2 linked regions of the Drosophila melanogaster genome follow. The protein of the gene in region 2 interacts with the protein of the main gene of each other region in a pairwise test. Each region holds a gene or a part of one and is shown on either strand. Other genes may lie near its edges.

The links. Proteins that work in one complex are often made in the same cells at the same time.
Region 1: the proteins of Alh (region 2) and Sar1 interact in a two-hybrid assay, tested with the Drosophila melanogaster proteins (one large-scale study listed by BioGRID).

The regions. Positions count from the first base shown.
Region 1 is NT_033777.3:22,355,123-22,361,211, reverse strand, and holds Sar1 (Secretion-associated Ras-related 1), read right to left. Parts: upstream 4,528-6,089; 5' UTR 4,414-4,527; exon of another isoform or gene 4,165-4,413; intron 3,696-4,164; exon of another isoform or gene 3,682-3,695; 5' UTR 3,584-3,681; coding exon 3,541-3,583; intron 2,841-3,540; coding exon 2,721-2,840; intron 2,650-2,720; coding exon 2,584-2,649; intron 1,688-2,583; coding exon 1,452-1,687; intron 1,376-1,451; coding exon 1,259-1,375; 3' UTR 501-1,258; downstream 1-500. Other genes in the region: JMJD6 (jumonji domain containing 6), read left to right, coding at 1-143; rdhB (retinol dehydrogenase B), read right to left, coding at 5,087-5,263, 5,385-5,520.
Region 2 is NT_033777.3:7,121,036-7,126,114, forward strand, and holds the start of Alh (alhambra), read right to left. Parts: upstream 3,151-5,079; 5' UTR 2,904-3,150; coding exon 2,869-2,903; intron 2,704-2,868; exon of another isoform or gene 2,605-2,703; intron 719-2,604; coding exon 240-718; intron 104-239; coding exon 1-103. Other genes in the region: CG10098 (uncharacterized protein), read left to right, coding at 3,625-3,771, 3,840-4,027, 4,384-5,079.

The DNA of each region.
Region 1 (6,089 bases), about 15 Mb from region 2:
CGGAGGAGGAGGAGAGCGACGATGGCGGCGATTCCAACACGGACAGCGGCCAGGAGAGTCTGACGGCCAAGAAGAAAAAGAAGCGGCGCATGGCTGGCGGCGGCTCCGGGTCCGGCTCCATGGGCGGATCATCGCGTTCCTGATCCAGGGAGCGGGCCAAGCGCAAGGGCTTGCTCATGCGCCTCTTTCAACGCCAACTGATGCTGCTGAGAGGACTGCCCCGCCGCTGCCGGCTCAGTTAGCACTGAGGTCGCGATCATACTCTGCAGAGTTTTGTGTATTTTTCTACTTGGACCAGCATGTTTGCAGCTCCTGGATCCCGTGCTCGCCCTCATCGAATGCCTGCTCCCTGATTTCAATAGATGCTCCGGACGTGACTCATTAGCGTAAACCCTAAATGCAAATAAATAAATGAATCCAATATGTTTGTACATCGCTGGGTTTCATTCAAGCTCGGCACATAAATCCAATGCAAAACAACAATAGTCACCAATTTATGTATTTTACAAAATTACTTTTCTCCGTTTTATTTAGAATTCTGTCTGCAAACAAAAATGCTTTTTTATATAAATTGCTTTCCCTTTCGTATTGTATAAAAGAAACAAAGTACATCGATGACATGCAACTTAAAATTTTTAGCTAAACTAAGGTGTACCATTTATCGGAGGTCGAATCCTTATAGGGATGTACATAATGTTTTGCGGCCAAAGTAAACTATTTAGGAAATCAATAGCGACATTTACAATTCATAAACTTGAAATAAAGGTAGGTGGCTACATTTTATTGGCGAAACAGCGTTCGTTGAAAGCACATGCTCTTAAATAAATCACCTTTAATTTGCTATAATTTGTTACTCATAATTATTATTAAAAGTTTCCCTTGCGCACTCCGCGCATCCTTCAGCTCCTTACAATGTATCCCGATGTTCCAGATAGAAAAGTTGTCTTCACTTTGATGTTGTGTTCTGTTTTTCCCGCGATTTCTTGTGTGTTACAGATGTACATTGTATGGTTTTCTGTTTTTTTTTTTTTATTATTATGAAATATTTGTAATTGTTTTGTATAAATTAGAAATTGCGCACGCAGCTTCGTTTTGCTTAAGGTCTGACGGTTTGAATTGGGCTGGGTTCACATCCCTTGGGTTCTGTTCTTTCTGCGGTCTCTAATCATTTTTGGAAATTTTGTAGCCAAGTTTTCGGTTTTGAGTGTTGAGTGGTGTTCTTGAAAATATGGTGCTGGTGGTGGTTGCTAATGCTGACTTAATCGATATACTGCGCCAGCCAACGGAAACCCTCGCCGTAGCCCTGTCGCTTCAGCACGGAGCACATGAACAATTCCAGAGGACGGCCGGGCAAATCGGCGCGTGCAACTTTGCCCTGCAAGTCAAATGGATATCAATTATGTAGCAGGAGTAAGGAGGGAGGGAGGGAGGGAGGTGGTTTTGGTGCTCACCTTGCCGGTTGTTAGCTGATACAGTCCGAACACGTTTCTCAGCTCATCCTCGCTAGCCGCGCCGGGCTTATCGATTTTGTTGCCCAATATGAGCACGGGGCAGTTGGACAGCGCCTCATCCGTGAGCAGCGAATCCAGCTCGTTTTTGCTCTCCTGGAAGCGGCCACGGTCCCAGGCGTCTATTAAGAAAACGATGGCGTCCACAGCAGGGAAGTAGTCCTTCCAGACGCGTCGTGCTGCAGAAATAAGTAGATATGTCTCATAAATACAAAAGCAGCAGTTAGTCTTTAGATGGGTTAGTCTTCCGATTTTTGAATCAAGATTTGCAAGGGCACCTTAGTAGTCGCTGCTGTTGACCAACAATCTGTAATTTATATAACATCGCTAGAATAACAAAGCGCAAGTCACTGATATCAGGCACAAATCTGATATCTTTCCGCCGCTAAGAACCTTTCTACTTTAGTGTACCTAGTAGTTCCGAAGCGAAAACGATCGTCACGATGACGAGCTGCCTTAAAATGAGTGCTAGAGCTTCGTTATCAAAACAACTGGATTTCACGATGTTTGATCACTTTTCATAATGTTCATATTTATATACATATATCAACTGCATGTATGCGAGTTTTTCGTTTCTGTTTGTTATCTACATAGAGAATGTTTGCCTTCATAATATTAATAATAAATACGTCGCCTATATGTGCACAGTGGTAAGGAAGATAGTATTTGCGAAAATCAACAAGACACTAATTGCTTTCTAAACATAAATGAACATATTGATTGTATGCAATGGGTTAAATATTCTAGTATTCTGAGGTCTTCATAATCACAGTTGAGATAAGATGATAATTGAGATCTCTGGATGAGCTGCTTGTGACCACTGTGGTGGCATTGCTTCGAGTGTGTGGCGCTGATTGATCGCAACAAATGCTACGAGTGTAAGACGCACTGGCTGTATGGGTGACCTGATGCGCTATATTTCATGCTGATTGTCGTGGATCTGGCGGCTGCGCTTGCTTAGCCCTGCGATATTTGCATACTGGTCTATATTTAGTCGTGGGCACGTACGGAAAATAGCAACGATTTGGATGCACATTCACATTCCCCTGAGCTCTGGTCAAGATTAGGCACTTACCCTGAGTGTGGCCACCCAAGTCGAATGTAGTGAAGCGCATGTTGCCGATGGACAGCTCCTCGGATGCTGCAAGTCAATCATATTAGTTAATTAAAGTCACACACATAACCACTATTTAGTCCATGAAGGAAACTCACTTGGATGCAGTGTGGGCACATGCTGCGCCAGCTTATCATCTTTGAGCATATGCAAGAGTGTGGTTTTGCCAGCATTATCCAGGCCCAGGAACAATAATTTGCCAGACTTTTTCCACAGACCTGAAAACGAGAAAGTGTGTTGAATAGCCTTTTGACTTACGCGTCATCAATTAATATACGCAGCTAAACTAACACTAGTGGCGGCTCACTTGTGTTTGCCCAGCCACAGACAGCCGAATATACATTTGAGGTCGAGACAATAGCTCTTGGACTTCGGGCTAATTATTACCTTTGCTACCCAAAATGTTCGGCTATCATTAACCTGATTAAAGATCAAGCTATAACAAAAATGCGCTTATAACAACTGCTATCAGTTTGGCCTGCACTGTAGAACAGTACTTTTCGTATGGAATAATTTTAACTTTTAGCATTACAAAGCAAATAAAAGTGTAGCAGCCATCTGGAAGCGAGGAAAACCCTATCAAAAATGTCTGCTTAAATAATTGTGGCTGAAGAGTACATGGCTATGCAATCAAAATACCTTTTACAGAAGTGTATATTGTATATGCACCCTAGAGTAATGCATATTCAACGCGCATTTGTTGTGATAGAGAGACCTAATGGAAAGTTATAAGCTTTCGACACCTTATAGACACAGTTTAACCTCTAGATTTCGAGATAATCGCACGTTTAGAGCTATCACCACGACCTCCGCTGTACAGCCGTCGAATTTGGGTTTCTTTTGTGCGGCTGCCTTGTTGGCACTCGTTCAAGAAACGCCGCCCCAAGGCACAAGGTCGGCAATGGCGACGTTGCTTACCCAGGTATCCCAGCACTCCGGTGAACCAGTCCCAGATGAACATCCTGATGGTTTCGTGTGGCTATCGGTTGCGGGTGATTGGCTCCAAGAGCAGCTTGTGTGTGTTTATTGTGGGGGGAAGAGAGCTGCTGGGCTAGACGGCTGCCGGATCGAAAAGAGATATGGCATGGATAATGGGTTAGTGCGCATTTCGACTCAAGTTCAATGTCCAGCCACAGAAACACAATAAGAACAACAGCAGCGGCAGCAACAGCGGCTTGGTGTATAGGAAATCAATTTTACGGCGGCTCAACTTCCGGAACCTTGACACACATACAACAACACGCACACTCGAGCGGCGGGGACCTTGCGGATATAAGGAAGCAAATTCCTCCTGGCGGCGAAACATTCACTTGGGCCCATTATTTAGTTAATTAGGTTAAAACCTGTTCTTTGTCAACTGGGCAGCACTTTCTTTATTTCATTCTTTCTCTGCCTCCTGCCCTCTCGCTCGCTCACTGTCTGTGTGTGTGTGTGAGTGGCACTGGGTGTGCGCGTGTGTGTGCGTGTGCTGCCTGTCTGTGTGCAACTACGTGGTAACATGCATTATATTATACTTTATAATATCATTTCACGTTGGAGCACATTTCGTAATCACACTTTGGACGGCAGGTGCACGCCGATCTAAGCCGCACCCTCGAAAAAAGCATAAAAAGGGCGCAGACATCCGGACTTCCGATTCGAATTCGAATTGAGATTCGGATTTTGCACTACGTGGACGCATTTCGGAATTTAACTGCCCGCGGCTGCGGGTAGCTTGCGTTTGATATGGACTTTTACTTGCGCACTTGCTGTTGCCGCCGCGCGTTCGTATCGGTATTGGCGGCTGGTTACCGTGCGTCTGCTGTGTGTATTAATTGTCAACCTAATTCGCTTTTTCTACCTCACGTTTTTATTGGAGTCAGTTCAGTTTTTTTTAATCATAAGCCCCAGTGTGACCAATAAGCGAAAGCTGTGAAATATCGATGTTTGTTTCGTACCATCGATTTTGGGGGTAGCACGAGTAATCGATGTTTTGGTGGATAACTCTGCTAGAGCGAAGCGAGCCAAATCAAGAGTGGTTGTTGTACTCGCTAGCGATAGCTGTACAGCCCTGGTCTTTTGACTCAATCTGGCAGCCCTACCGCAAGGTGGCAACTCCACTACATGCGCGGGCAATTCCAATTCAAATGAATGAATGTATAAATGCATTCATAATGTTGCCAAACTATTTACACGCATTTAATGTTATATCGATTAGAGAATATGCAAAATATTATAAATGTTTAATTATCGTTTTATTGCATTTTTATGTTATTTGTAATAAGATGTTAATACAGATGTTATCTACAGATAACATCTTAAAGAATATAAAGTGTCGAAACAGTTGCTTGAAATGCAATAATGTAATTTTTTATATTTAAAAATATGTACATTTGTTCTCTTATTACATAGAAGAACATATACAAAATGTACAAATAATATCGTTTTGGGTAAAATGTAATTCTCTTGAAATTCAAACTAAAATTCAATCGACCTTCCGCATCTGCTGCAGGATGATGTCCTCCACCTGGACGCCATCGGGAGTGTTCAGCGCATACAACACGGCCTTGGCCACATCCCTTGCCTGCAGTTTGGGCAGCTCGGCTACCGCCTGCGAGTAAACACTAAGGAAATCCGTGTCTACCATGCCCGGGCAAATGCTCTGCAATGGAGGGATAAAAATGGAGAGGGTAACCAATGAGCAGACGCGTCATGTTTGCCGCATTTCCCGAGGATTAAGATGGAGGATGAGGCGCGCCATGTATGCACTGCATTTAACTTACCGTTAATTTAATATTTAATTTGAGAAAATGTATTTCCTGGCGCACCGTTTGGCAGAGGGCCGTAATTGCATGCTTCGTGGCCGGATAAACGCTGAATAAGGGCACCGGCACTTCCGGAATCCGATGGCCAAGCACGCTGTTGTCAAATGTTGTCCATACACATGTCCAGAGCAGAGCGAAGGAGGAGGCGGAGGAGTAGCATGAGCATCGTCCACATGCCAAGGTATGGCGGTGCGTCGGGGATGGAAAATAAAGACAAAGCGGGGTCACAAACGGCGGGTGTGCGTGGGTAAATAAAGTCAACACAACGGATTTCAAGCACTTAAAACGGCAACAAAAAACAAGTCGCCGTCGAACACCTACGGAAAATGATGGTCAGCAGCTGACGGGACATTTTTGCGTGCATTTTATGCAAACATTGCGTAAACTTCTTTTAATTTTACCCCCACACCTGACGAAAAAGCAAGAAAAGACTTAAAAACTTGTGCTATAATATTTTGATTGAATGCGAAATTTTTGGAAAAATAAGGGAATTATAAGTTACAACTAGTTTTTATATTTGCTACAAGATATTTAATTTAATTAAACTGATATTTTTATGAAGGCATTCATTCGAGTATCCTTTTTTTCGAGTGCATTTGGAAGAGCACGGGGTGGTACTTACGGCTCTGAGCCGGGGGCATTAAATGCAAACAATTGCCAACG
Region 2 (5,079 bases):
CAGGTGACGTGGAACTGCTGCTTGCAATTCGATTTGTTGCACTGCATACAGGCGCCAACATTGGCACGATTTGGTTTGCCAATTTCCTGGCAAATATAGCAAGCTGAAAATGGAAACGGATTGTAATTAATTATTGCCATTTAGCTAAGGCTAGTTTAACAAACAGGGGTTATAATTTTTCAATGAGTAACATTTTTTAAATAATATATGTAAATATAAAACATTTAAACATAGCTTACTCTTCGAGTACCGCTCCTGCGGTATTAATGACAATATGATGGGCTCCATGGTGGTCACATTCCCAAATCGCACCTCTGGGATGTACAGGGCGCAAACAACGTGCGCCCACCCGCTATTATCCGTCTTCTTAAGGGCGCCATCCCGCGAGGGACATAGTTCGCATCGGACGCGAGAGGTTCGCTCCTGGGACTCGCACTTGCGACAGTACCAGGGTCCAGTGGGAACCGTCACAATGCCATAGCACGCCTGGTGCACTGCCACAGTACAGTTCTGGCCGTCACAGTAGACGAGCGGGTTCTCCGGCCACCCCCGCTCGTCTGAACAAACGCAACAGCCGCCCACCATCTCCTTCATATCGTCCAACTTGAACTTTTTAATCTTGACCAGCTTCTTGTTCAAGCTTGTGGAGTGAATGGTGTCGTCTTTGCTGGAGTCTAGCTCCAGTTTCGCATTGAATGAAGACGGAATTTTGTTGGAGCTGCAAGTATATATATATATATATATATATATATATATATATATATATATATATATATATATAATATAAGAATTTTCCTTAAGTAAAAAGAGGATTTTTAAAACTCAATATATTTGGGTCCAATTAACGTTACCAGAGGAGCGTTGAAAGTTGAGCGAAAAGTTGAACATACATAAGTATGATGCACTTACGAATCTTCTGAATTTTATTTGTAATAGTATTTCTAATAAAAACAACGACTTTTTACCAAATTTGTATGGAATTAGCAGTAAAATTTATAAGAAATTTATTTGTTCAGCTTTCCTTATCAAGAAAATAAGCATGCTCTTTACTTTTTTCTTTCACATTTTTGTAATAATTTAAAGAACGTAGAGTCTATATAAAACATTTTTTATCAGAGCTCCGCTCCACCCCGCTCGAAGTCGACGATCTTGAGATAGAGGTTCCGGCCTTTCTCGTTATCGATAATATGCTGCTATCGAGGCAGGTGTCTATTGGCAAGGTCATTCGCACTCGGTTTTTCCACAATAACATCAACAAAAACAGTAGCCCTATAAAATATTATACCTAATTGTGCGCTTGTATTTACAACTTGGCCTTCGAAGCGAGAGCGAGAGAGATGGCACATGGAGCCCCGTTCGCAGAACATTTACACGCACACACAAATAATCTCTCAATGTCAAGGTAATTTTGCCGCTGCTTAATAATACATGCTAATTATGTATGTCGAATCATTTAAATAAAGACGGCCGAAAATATAAACAGCTATGCCACCGAATATTGATAGGAGGTTTTAGCACAGCAATACGAACAACAAATATTTTTAACTTTCACAAAACGGGCAACGCACACACAAACACTCTCTTCTGCGGCATTCCGTGGGCTGGTGTTGGTTCATTGAACCTGATTTAAATGGGCTACCAAAAATAAAACAGGAAAATGCAGCCCTGCCCCGAATCCAATTGGATGTCGATTTGGTCCCAATGTGCGATCGAACGCAAATATGTGGGTCGCGGAGATTTCACAACAACAACGGCAATTATTATAATAATAATAATAACGGCATGCGGGTGCTGTTTCTGTTTCATTCATGCATGCGCATCTGTGCGAGAGATCGCGGCGGAGGAGAGTGCGGGTCTAGTTGTACCGTTATTGGGTCAGCGTGTTGCCAACTGCCGAAAAAGAAAAACGCAGCCAGCGTGTTGCCAACAGCGGGTTAGCTGGAGTTCTCTAACTTAACGGTGTAAAATCACACACACTTGGCCATATGAAACGAGGCCGCTCTGCACGTTGCTTTTGTAATGAAGAGCAATGCACTTTCGACACAAGCAAACACACACTGTCGTCAGGCAGAACAGATACATACACACGCACGCGGGGAGATGCTACATTAATGTTGACGAAATGCCGGAAAAGGGGGCGCGCTTTTGGGGGGTGGAATACGGGTGGGTGTGTGTACATGTATATATGTACCCCATTTAAAACATCCTTCGGGGGAGTTTTTGGGGACTGGAGGGTAGTTTCTCCCAGTTTCCGCAACTCGTCTCTTAAAGCACTGCTTAAATTTCCTTCAAATTGTGTGTATACCCGTGGCTTGAATTTATTGATTTTTATGGGCAATTGCTTTAATTTCACTGGCCAGCAGGGCTTTAAAACGTCATCAGCGGTGTGCCACCAAACAAAAAGAAACTAGTTTCACGGCGGGGAAAATGCGCGCGGTCAAAGTCGTCAAGCAACGCACAACAAAAACAGAAAATATCTATTTTTTTCAGGGAGCGGTCTATCGAAAACTTGAAATTCTTTCGACTTTCTTGCTATTTTCACGCAGAGGTTTCTTATTGGCCGCTAGCACCCTCACAGAATATTGATTTTCTAAATTTCTTTACCCAATTTGGCACTTTAAATAAATGGTTTCCAGCCCGCAGCTGTGGGTTAGCGTTTATCTAGCTTTTCGTGGCTTTTCTCAGCACTTTTCCGCGTCTCACAGTCTTCACAGCCGCCCACGAGTAGCAAACGCACGCAAGTAAAATAATCAACACTCAAAAAAGGCGCTGAACAACACCATCCACCAGCGCAACAACAACACTGTGTGCGCGAGTATTTACAACTACAGCTACAACAACACCAGCAGCACACACCACTCCACACACCTTGTAACTTGTTTGTTGTTGTTTCGCTCGCACATCGGGAGCGAGCAGTGCGGGCGCGAGAGGGAGACAACACCACCTGCTCTGTATACAAATGCAGCTTAGTGGATACAATTTTGCTGGATGCGCGGTTTTTCCAATTGCCCGAATATCGCGAAAAGCTTGCAATTCCGAGACGTTCCGCGTTTTCCTTCTATGCAGACAGGTTTTTGAGCATTTTAACGCCGAAACAAGAAAAACCTCGGTTACCAGACGAATGGGCAGATTTCTAGCGATGGGTACTTTATCAGAGAAGGGTAAAATGCTTAGAGATGGGATGCGACTTGTCTGCATTTTTCCAGATTCAAAGGAAAACCCGATATTCATTATAACTTCCCTCTCTTATTCAATGCTGCTAATTATGGTGTAAATGAAGGTTGTAATTTAAGTAAATCGAATTCTTATTGGTGTTGGATCATAGTATTGTCAACATTAATGCTCGTCATTTAAATAATGGAGATGTATAAGGAAATATTTTATATATAGAACACTAAAATACCTAATCCTTATAGTTCTTTTAGAATTCTCCATACTAAACAAATAAATAACGTCCGATGTTGCCAGACGAGTCAACGGCTCATCGCCACGGTTCATTTCCACGATATATATTGGGCAGTGTTGAATAACGTTTGAACCTTAAACAGCTGTGGGAAAAATCAATTTTGCAACTCCCTCGCGCACTTCTGAAGAAACTTCTTCGCGAGAAAAGCACGGATAAAAATGACCAACGGTGACTGCTTTGTTGTTCTGCCCGAGAACTGTGCCGAAGGAACTTTGATCATCGGTCGCAATGCGGAGGACGAAAAAAACGTCAACGTTGCTTCGGAGGTTTGCTTCTACGATGCCACCGAAGTGCTTGAGGGGAAGGTAAAGACAGACTCCTCCGAAAACGAAGCTCGATCAATGACTCACCACCCAAACACCTCACATTTCAGACTGACGGTGGAGCTTCTGCCGAGACAGGCGGCGATATGTTGCGTGTTATATTGCAAAAACCGCAGCCGGGTCTCTGGGGTGGGGACTTCGGGGCCAATGAACGCGGAGTGGCCCTAGGTCTTACCTGGGCGGCAGGTGAAAACGAGGCCAAGGACAGCGACAGCCTGCTGGGCACGGATATAGTGCGGTAAGTTCTCTTTCAATATCTGCGTATCAACAAACTATGCACAACAAAGCAAATTATTTGCACTTAATATAAATAACTTTCATCACTAAAAATGTATGTACATATGAAGTCTATATAATGCAGAACGTAAATACTTATTCAAAGGATGACATTTTGTGGCTGATGTTTGTAATTAGCATTCCAATCCTTTCGTGTCCTTTAGGGCTTATTAATGCTTGAAGATACTATTATTTCAACATTATTTCATAAGTTAATTAAAAACGAATCAATCAGAAATTTAATGTTGTCGAGAAACTAAGGCTTTTACAATTATTATAAATCATGAAATAATAAATCATCTAATAACTTTTTTGTAGCTTGACTTTGGCTGTCGCCAAAGATGTGGACGATGCTGTAGACCGGATTGGAGCTTTGGTGGCCAGTCACGGTCACGACAACTCCAAACTAAACTTCATCGCTTGCGATGCAGCTGCTGCCTGGCTTGTGAGTTGCTCTGGCAAGGTATGGGCCGCTGAGAAATTGGAGGCCAGCTTCTTGCGTTTGCCCTCCGGAGGACTGGCTGTGACCACTGTGGTGAACAAGTCAAGCGAGGGATTAGATGACGCTGCCAGTTTTGCCGCTGCTCACGATGCAGAGGCCCAGGCCCCGGCAGTGGATTGGTGTGGTCCCAAGCCAGCTGGCGATGGAACATATACCCAGCACGACATGTTCGAGACGCTGCGATCCGCCAGTAATGCGAGCAGCTCGAGGGCGGCTACCGTTTCGGTGCTGTCGGTGAAGGGAATCTCATGCCATTGGTTCACCGGGACGCCCAATGCCGCCGAGTCTGTGTTTAAGCCGTTCGTTTTTGCCCCAAATCCGAGGATCTCGCCGCTAACCCAAGTGCAAGCGGAAGCGGACTTGACGTTGCTGCACAAGCTACACTCGCAACGCAAGCCGGCCGCCTTGGAGCACTTGCGCAGCTTGGAGCTCTCCTGCGTGGACGAGCTAAATAACTATTTCTCTCTGCAGGATCACGCCAGTGACGAGCTGGACGAACTGCTCAAGGACTG